Linked DNA regions of Macaca mulatta. The main gene of each other region encodes a partner of the protein of the gene in region 2 in a complex. Links are inferred from orthologs where the notes say so. Each region holds a gene or a part of one and is shown on either strand. Other genes may lie near its edges.

What was found.
Region 1: the proteins of ARHGEF7 (region 2) and SHANK1 are in contact, whole or in part, in a crystal structure (PDB 3L4F), measured with the Rattus norvegicus proteins. The link is inferred for Macaca mulatta from reciprocal best matches to the Homo sapiens genes ARHGEF7 and SHANK1. Residues at the interface, in XP_063131056.1 of Rattus norvegicus: Asp735, Ala737, Trp738, Asp739, Glu740, Thr741, Asn742, Leu743; in NP_113939.2 of Rattus norvegicus: Gly673, Phe674, Gly675, Phe676, Val677, Leu678, Arg679, Gly680, Ala681, Lys682, Phe696, Glu703, His735, Arg736, Val739, Ile742.

The regions. Positions count from the first base shown.
Region 1 is NC_133424.1:63,096,712-63,100,360, reverse strand, and holds part of SHANK1 (SH3 and multiple ankyrin repeat domains protein 1), read left to right. Parts: intron 1-1,251; coding exon 1,252-1,329; intron 1,330-1,585; coding exon 1,586-1,652; intron 1,653-1,942; coding exon 1,943-2,273; intron 2,274-3,120; coding exon 3,121-3,314; intron 3,315-3,649. UniProt on the Homo sapiens protein: Seems to be an adapter protein in the postsynaptic density (PSD) of excitatory synapses that interconnects receptors of the postsynaptic membrane including NMDA-type and metabotropic glutamate receptors via complexes with GKAP/PSD-95 and Homer, respectively, and the actin-based cytoskeleton.
Region 2 is NC_133422.1:105,634,474-105,638,122, forward strand, and holds part of ARHGEF7 (rho guanine nucleotide exchange factor 7), read left to right. Parts: intron 1-505; coding exon 506-584; coding exon of another isoform or gene 585-674; intron 675-775; coding exon 776-915; intron 916-3,335; coding exon 3,336-3,560; intron 3,561-3,649. UniProt on the Homo sapiens protein: Acts as a RAC1 guanine nucleotide exchange factor (GEF) and can induce membrane ruffling. Functions in cell migration, attachment and cell spreading. Promotes targeting of RAC1 to focal adhesions. May function as a positive regulator of apoptosis.

The sequences.
Region 1 (3,649 bases), on a different chromosome or scaffold from region 2:
CCGTAAGGTCTAGACCTGTGGTTCTCAACCGGGGAGCTTCTGTCCCCCAGGACACACTTGTCAACGTCTAAAGACATTTTTGGTTGTCATGACTGGGGAGGGGAGTGCTACTGGCATCTAGTGGTAGAGACGGGGGATGCTACTCAACATCCCACAGTGCTCAGAACACCCCCCACAAACCAATGAATCACCAAAGAATTATCTGGCCCCAACGTTCAGTGGAACATAGCATGAGCACGTATCCTAAATGCCCTCAAATATCCTAGTGGCCATGTTAAGGAGAAGGGGAAAATAATTAGGTGACATTTATTGTAACAACATACTTTACTTGTAACAGTGTATCCAAAATGTTATCATTTCAACATAGAATCAATACAGAAATTATTTTTTTTTTGTGTGTGTGTTTTTTCTTTTGAGACAGTGTCTCCCTCTGTCATCCAGGCTGGAGTGCAGTGGCGGGATCTCGGCTCACTGCAACCTGCACCTCCTGGGTTCAAGTGATTCTCCCACCTCAGCCTCCTGAGTAGCTGGGATTACAAGCGCCCGACACCACACCTGGCTAATTTTTGTAGTTTTTTGTAGTGACAGGGTTTCACCATGTTGTCCAGGCTGGTCTCAAATATCTGGCCTCAAGTGATCCGCTCGCCTTGACCTCCCAAAGTGCTGGGATTACAGGTGTGTGTCACCACGCCTGGCATTTTTTTTTTTTTTTTTCTGGGCGGAGGGGAGACAGGTCTGTGCTCTGTCACCCAGGCTTGATCTCAGCTCACTGCAGCCTCAAACTCCTGAGCTCAAGAGACCCTCCCACCTCAGCCTCCCAAGTATTTGGGACTCCAGGCACCCACCACCATGCCTGGCTAACTTCTGTTTACTTTTTTATAGAAATGGGGAGTGTCTCACTATGTCGCCCAGGCTGGTCTGGAACTTCTGTCTTGGCCTCCCAAAGTCTTAGGATTACAGGCTTGAGCCACCACACCTGGCTATAGACATTTAAATTCTCTCTTGTTTTCATATGGCATCCTTGAAATCCAGTGTGTATTTCGCATGTATGGTGCATCTCCATTTGGGCCATCCATGTTTAAACTCAAGTGCTCCTGGTCCGTACCTGGCAGGTGGCTGCTGTCCTGAGTGGTGTGGGTTTAGGGTGGAGTATTTATTCCTGAGGCTCTTAGCATAGTACCTGTATCCACTCATGGTGCCCTTAATCTTTTTTCTCTCTCTTTGTCCTGCACCACTGGCCATCACCCACAGGAGACCTGTGCCAGGATCCTCCTGTATCGAGGTGCCGACAAGGATGTGAAGAATAACAACGGACAGACCCCATTCCAGGTCTGGGGCTGCAGTGGATATACTGAAGTCTCCAGGGCTAAGGAAAGGCTGACAGTGACACCCAGTGGATAAGGAAGGGGACAATGAGGAAAGCAAGGAGACAGGCCGTGGAGGGGGAGCTGGAAGAAGAGGGAGGGCGGCATTGTCAGGGTGGAAGGTTTGGGTCGGGCTGGGGACCTCAGCATGTTTCCTGCCCTTTCTCTGCTCCCTGGGCCACCCCGCCCCCCGCCAACCCACCTCTACCCCCTCCCTCCAGGTGGCAGTGATTGCTGGGAATTTTGAGCTGGGGGAGCTGATCCGAAACCATCGAGAACAGGATGTGGGTGAGTGACAGGGAGCTGGGGCTGCACAGAGAACCTGGGGCGGCTGGGGTTTCATGGTAGGATGGGAGAGTTGGGGTACCTGACTTGAGGGCCAGGATAGGATGGAGAAAACCCTAGAGGACCAAAAATGTCTGGGTGGTGGTTGGGGGAGCAATTCCAGGCCCCCCGCCCTTTCTCATCTCTGTCTTTCTCCCTCATGCCTCTCTCCCACCATCTCTCGCCCCCGCATGGCCCCCTGCTTGCCTTTTCTCCCCTAACATCTGCCCCCCGCCGCCACTGTGCCCTCTCAGTGCCCTTCCAGGAGTCCCCCAAGTACGCGGCCCGGCGACGGGGGCCCCCGGGCACAGGGCTGACAGTGCCCCCGGCGCTGCTGCGGGCCAACAGTGACACCAGCATGGCGCTGCCCGACTGGATGGTGTTCTCCGCCCCAGGGGCCTCGTCCTCTGGGGCCCCTGGCCCTACCTCAGGGTCCCAGGGCCAGTCGCAGCCCTCGGCCCCCACCGCCAAGCTCAGCAGCGGGACCCTCCGAAGTGCCAGCAGCCCCCGGGGTGCCAGGGCCCGCTCTCCATCCCGAGGGAGGCACCCTGAGGACGCCAAGAGGCAGCCCCGAGGCCGGCCCAGGTAGGGGAGGCAGCCCTGGCTCCACAGTCCCCAGCCCCGTCAAATCCCCTCCCCAGAGCGGTGGCTTCCCCCGAGGCCAGCCCAGCTGCCTTCCTCTGTAGGCCCTCATCCATCCAAGTCCCTAGTGTCACCGTGGGGTAAAGGAAGGGCCTTGGGAGCTACTGTCCCGACTCCACCCCCAGTGCACCACGTTAGCTGGACATCTGCTCCACGACAGGGGCCCCATGCAGAGGATACCCCAAAGAAACATGTGTCCCAACCCCTGGGGACAGAGAATGACAGGGTGAGGTGGAGGGAAGCCGAGCAGGAAGAGGATGGGGGTGGTGGCAGGGACTTGGGTGGGGGACAGAGAGGTCACTCTGGAGGGAGGATGAGGAGTGGGCGGGGGACATTCCGGGGTCAGGAGGCCCACATGGCTAGAGGAGGGTGAGAAGGAGGTGGAGGCCAGCCAGGCGTGTCCCGAGGAAGTGGGGGAGAGGCTGGCAACGGCGGGCAGAGGAGTTGGACCTGACCCAGGAGGAAGCTGGGAGTCGCGGAAGGCTCGTGAGCGGAGGGATGACACAGTCCCAGCTCAGCCTCAGGAAGCTGAATCAGGCGGTGCGCACAGGACCGTGGGAGGGGGCAGAGCCGGAAGCCAGGAGGCAGGAGAGGGGGCTGGGGGCAGCTGCGGGGAGGCAGAGGAGCCCCCAAATGCCCTCTTTCCTGGAGGACACCAGTGCTGGGAAAGCCCCTCCCCCCACCTCCACCCTGATGCTCCATCCTCTTCCCCCACCCAAGGACCCCTGTCCTCCCAGAGGTGTTCCCTCCCTCCACCCTCCCTTGCCTCTCATGCCCTCTGTGTACACAGCTCCAGCGGGACACCCCGGGAAGGGCCAGCCGGGGGCACGGGGGGCTCAGGGGGCCCCGGGGGCTCCCTGGGCAGCCGTGGGAGGCGGAGGAAGCTCTACTCAGCAGTACCCGGACGCTCCTTCATGGCTGTGAAGTCGTACCAGGCCCAAGCCGAGGGGGAGATCTCCCTGAGCAAGGGCGAGAAGATCAAAGGTACCCAGGGTGGAAGCAGGGCCTGCGCTGGGCTGGGCTGTGGGGGCGATCAGGGAAAACGTGGAGCAGAGAGCAGACCATTCTCAGATACCCAGAGTATCTCAGACCTCAGAGAGCCCTGCGGCGCCCCTTGAGCCTTGAAGGAGCAGAGAGTGTAGCTGAGATTACCCTGTCAGGAGGCAGTGCTGAGGCAAAGGCAGTGAAGTGGGCTGGGTCCCATTGTGGGACACTGATGCCGTGTGCAGGGCATAGTTGGAACATCTCACCAAATTGTCTCATTAGACTCCTCATGGTCCTTTCTGGGGAGGGAGGTCATGGGCCACATTGCATGGTTG
Region 2 (3,649 bases):
TTAGCACAACTACTTATTTTCTGTTTGGTGGATTATAAAGTAGAATGTTAGGCAATTCTTGTTCTTGCCTCAATTTCCCACCCTTATTTTGACTTTAAACTTGGAGCTTCCTCTGTATTTCTTTATGAGGCAAATACATGCTGCTTTTCTGCAAAAACATCGTTTAAAACAACTGTTACACGTGGTAGTTTTTAAAAAATCATAATGTGAGATTTTTTGTCCTGGTGTCTGTTTAGTAGCAGCTCATCAGATGCAGTGTGTGTTTGGGCTTGTCAGTCTGTCCCTTGTCGCCAGTTGAGTTTCTTGCTTACAGTATAGTATTAATATGATTTATTATTTGAGATAAAGATTTTTGTATTATACATGCATCTGCTACAAACGAACTCTTTTTGGTTCACAAACAGTTCCTCCACCAATTCTAAAATCATTTAATATTACTTTAATAATGGTACCTTTTTCTAGAAAAGCACTAATTGTTTTTTTTTTGTGGGGGGGTCTTTTTTAGGGAAAGCTTCCAACGACAGGAATGACAATCACAAAGCTTGAGGACAGTGAAAACCATAGAAATGCATTTGAAATATCAGGTGATAGGCACAAGCTGTGTGAGTGCCGTGTCTCGGGGAGGAGAGGCAGCTTGTCCCCGCGTGCAGATTCTTGCTTGCATATTTCAGAAGGTGGTGTTTAAGCGTTGAGTGGAATTCTGGGGGCTGTGTGTGCATGCACGCGCTTTTTACCTGTGTTTCCACTCGGCCTATTTTTTCCTTCTCTCCTCTAGGGAGCATGATCGAGCGGATATTAGTGTCATGCAACAACCAGCAGGATCTGCAGGAATGGGTGGACCACCTACAGAAGCAAACGAAGGTCACATCTGTGGGAAACCCCACCATAAAGCCTCATTCGGTGCCGTCTCATACCGTAAGGACCTGGCGCTTCTTCTCCTTCCAGACTCCAGGCGTGGCATCCCGTGGCTGAGCTGTCAGCAAGTGATCACGTGCTTTAAAACCTGATCAATATTGGGATAAAAATGCAAACGCTTGCTTGATATTTCTCTGAAAATATTTGGCCCTCTTTGTGCAGTAGTGAATTGTTTTCCAATGAGTGTTCTCGAGAAACAACCCTGAATTGTGCCTCCTCACGCACAATTCAGAGGTGCTTGGGTGGGAAGCTGCTTTTGCTCAGCGTGGCCTTAGAAGACTAATTTAGGGGAGTTTTACACTAAACTATAGATGATTTTTCTGAGAATTTTAACTGTTTATTATGCTTCATTTAAGAAAACGAAAATAAATGATTATGATGATGAAAAGGGCCAGATTCATGTTGAAGGCATTAAAATAGAATTTATGACACACTGTTGATTTTAAGAAATTGAGGTGTCTTTTACTTAGAAAAGCTCAGCAACTCTTTGAATTTTTAGAGAATTACAACTTTTCAAAATAGATGAACACTGAATTCGGTTGCAGTGTTTAAACCTCTCCTGGTGTTTTTTGCTCAAGAAGTTGGTATCGGGTTGTTTTAACAGTCGTCATCTTTATCAAGTAATACCGAAAAACTGGGCAGAGCTTTTAAAGAATGAGTGGCGATGACACGGCATTTTCAGCTTGCAGATTCCCTCACATCCTTACTAGGTTATTAGGATCAGTTCTGTCGTGTGCTCAGTTTTCATGTTTTCTTCTTCATGGGAAGGTTGTAGATCAAGAAGGATTGCTGTATTCTGATATTCTCATCAGTTTCAGAGTCCATCTGATTTCTCTCAGCAGTGTGCAGATAACTACTCATTGGCTTTTAGCTAGCATTTCATCTTTAATGGCTCTGCCGTTTTAAAATTCTCCATTCTTTCGTGGAGATCAGTTTATCCCAGCGACATGTGTACACGTGTGTTTATAAAGAACAGTGGATGAGCTGCTTCACTCAGATTTTCAACAGCAGCCTGAAACTCTACTTCATACAATTTTACATCAAGTCAGCTTTTCTCTGCGGCCAGACCCTCCGTCTTAGTGTTTCTTTCACTGGTGGCGGGGAAGGCACTGTGCCTCATGTTTAAAATGTTCTGCGTTCTCCTACAGAGTTTCTTTTGTGGGATGATGTATTCTCCTGTGATCTAACTCTGTCCAACTGAAGTCATATTCTAATTTTAGCATAAAGCATACTTCCTTTGACTTTCTCAAGAAAGGAGAAACAAAACCAGACACTACTTAACTCTGACGTTGTTGCTAGGAGGGATGTCTTACATAATTTTCTCCATCTATACATTATTTCCTATGAAAAGATGACGTTACGGTGGCTTCATAGCATGACCTGTATCTCACACGATTCCCTCCCCCATGCAGGGACTAGAATGTGATCATTGCAGAAAGTTGATGGCGTCTGTTCTTGAAATTGTGGCATTAGCTGCTGTGGGGCCTTCCCTCTCAGCCTGTTTTGAAGGTCGTGTACTTCAGAATGCCGACCCCACTCAGGTTTCCAGTTCACAGCGCCACACAGCTTGTTCTCCCATTAAACGCGCCTTACTATTGTTGGCTAATTTGAAGTCATTGTTGGCTGATTTTGAGACTTACTTAACTTTTCTCATTTAACTGTCATTGTGATGGGATATTTCGGGTTTCCCAGGAATATAAAATTCATTAATGACATACCTCCTCTAAGAAGTTAATTTTCAATTAACTTTGTTTTGATTAAAGTTGAGTTTTCTAAGAAAATAACTGATTTTATACCAGGGTTTGGCAGTGTTCTAGAAAGAGCCAGATGGTAAACATTCTCTGCTTTACAGGCTCAGGCCTCTTGCAGCTGTACTCTGCCCTTGTAACACAGCAGCAGCTTTAGACAGGCACGGGCCTGCTTGTGTGCCAGGAAAACTTTTTTAAAAAACAAAACTAGGCGATTGGGCCTTAGTTTCACCCAGTACTTCATCACCAGGTGAAGAATAATACGTGACCGGGGGGAATCACCTTCCTTCTTACAGCCACATGCCCTGTGTGCTTTTGTGAAATTCTCATCTTTTTACTAGATAAAGTACCTTTTTTTCTGTTAATGTTACTCCGTAGCTAATAAATGTGGCTAGTGGATGTCCGAGTGCTGGGGCGCCAGCTAGAGCTGCCCCTCCCGTCTGGGGCAGACACCGTGGGGGGGTCCCATGCTCAGCCCAAGTGGCGCGAGCTGGTGCTTGGCCCCAAAAACTACTGAGAGCCAGAGATTCGAACGAAATGATAAATGATAAATCCTGGGGTTTATTTCACATGGAGTGTTTAAAGAGCGGAAGGAAGTGCGTGATAGTGCCCTTTCACGGTGAGCATGCAAGTCTCACGTTCTCTGCCCTTCCCGCTCTGTGCCCTCGGCAGCTGCCCTCCCACCCGGTCACTCCGTCCAGCAAGCACGCAGACAGCAAGCCCGCGCCGCTGACGCCCGCCTACCACACGCTCCCCCACCCCTCCCACCACGGCACCCCGCACACCACCATCAACTGGGGACCCCTGGAGCCTCCGAAAACACCCAAGCCCTGGAGCCTGAGCTGCCTGCGGCCCGCGCCTCCCCTCCGGCCCTCCGCTGCCCTCTGCTACAAGGAGGTGAGGTCCCTTGACCACTCAAACAGCCAGACGCCGGTGAGCATGCCTTGGGCCCCGAGTGTGCCGGGCTGGTCCCTCTGTACGCAGCA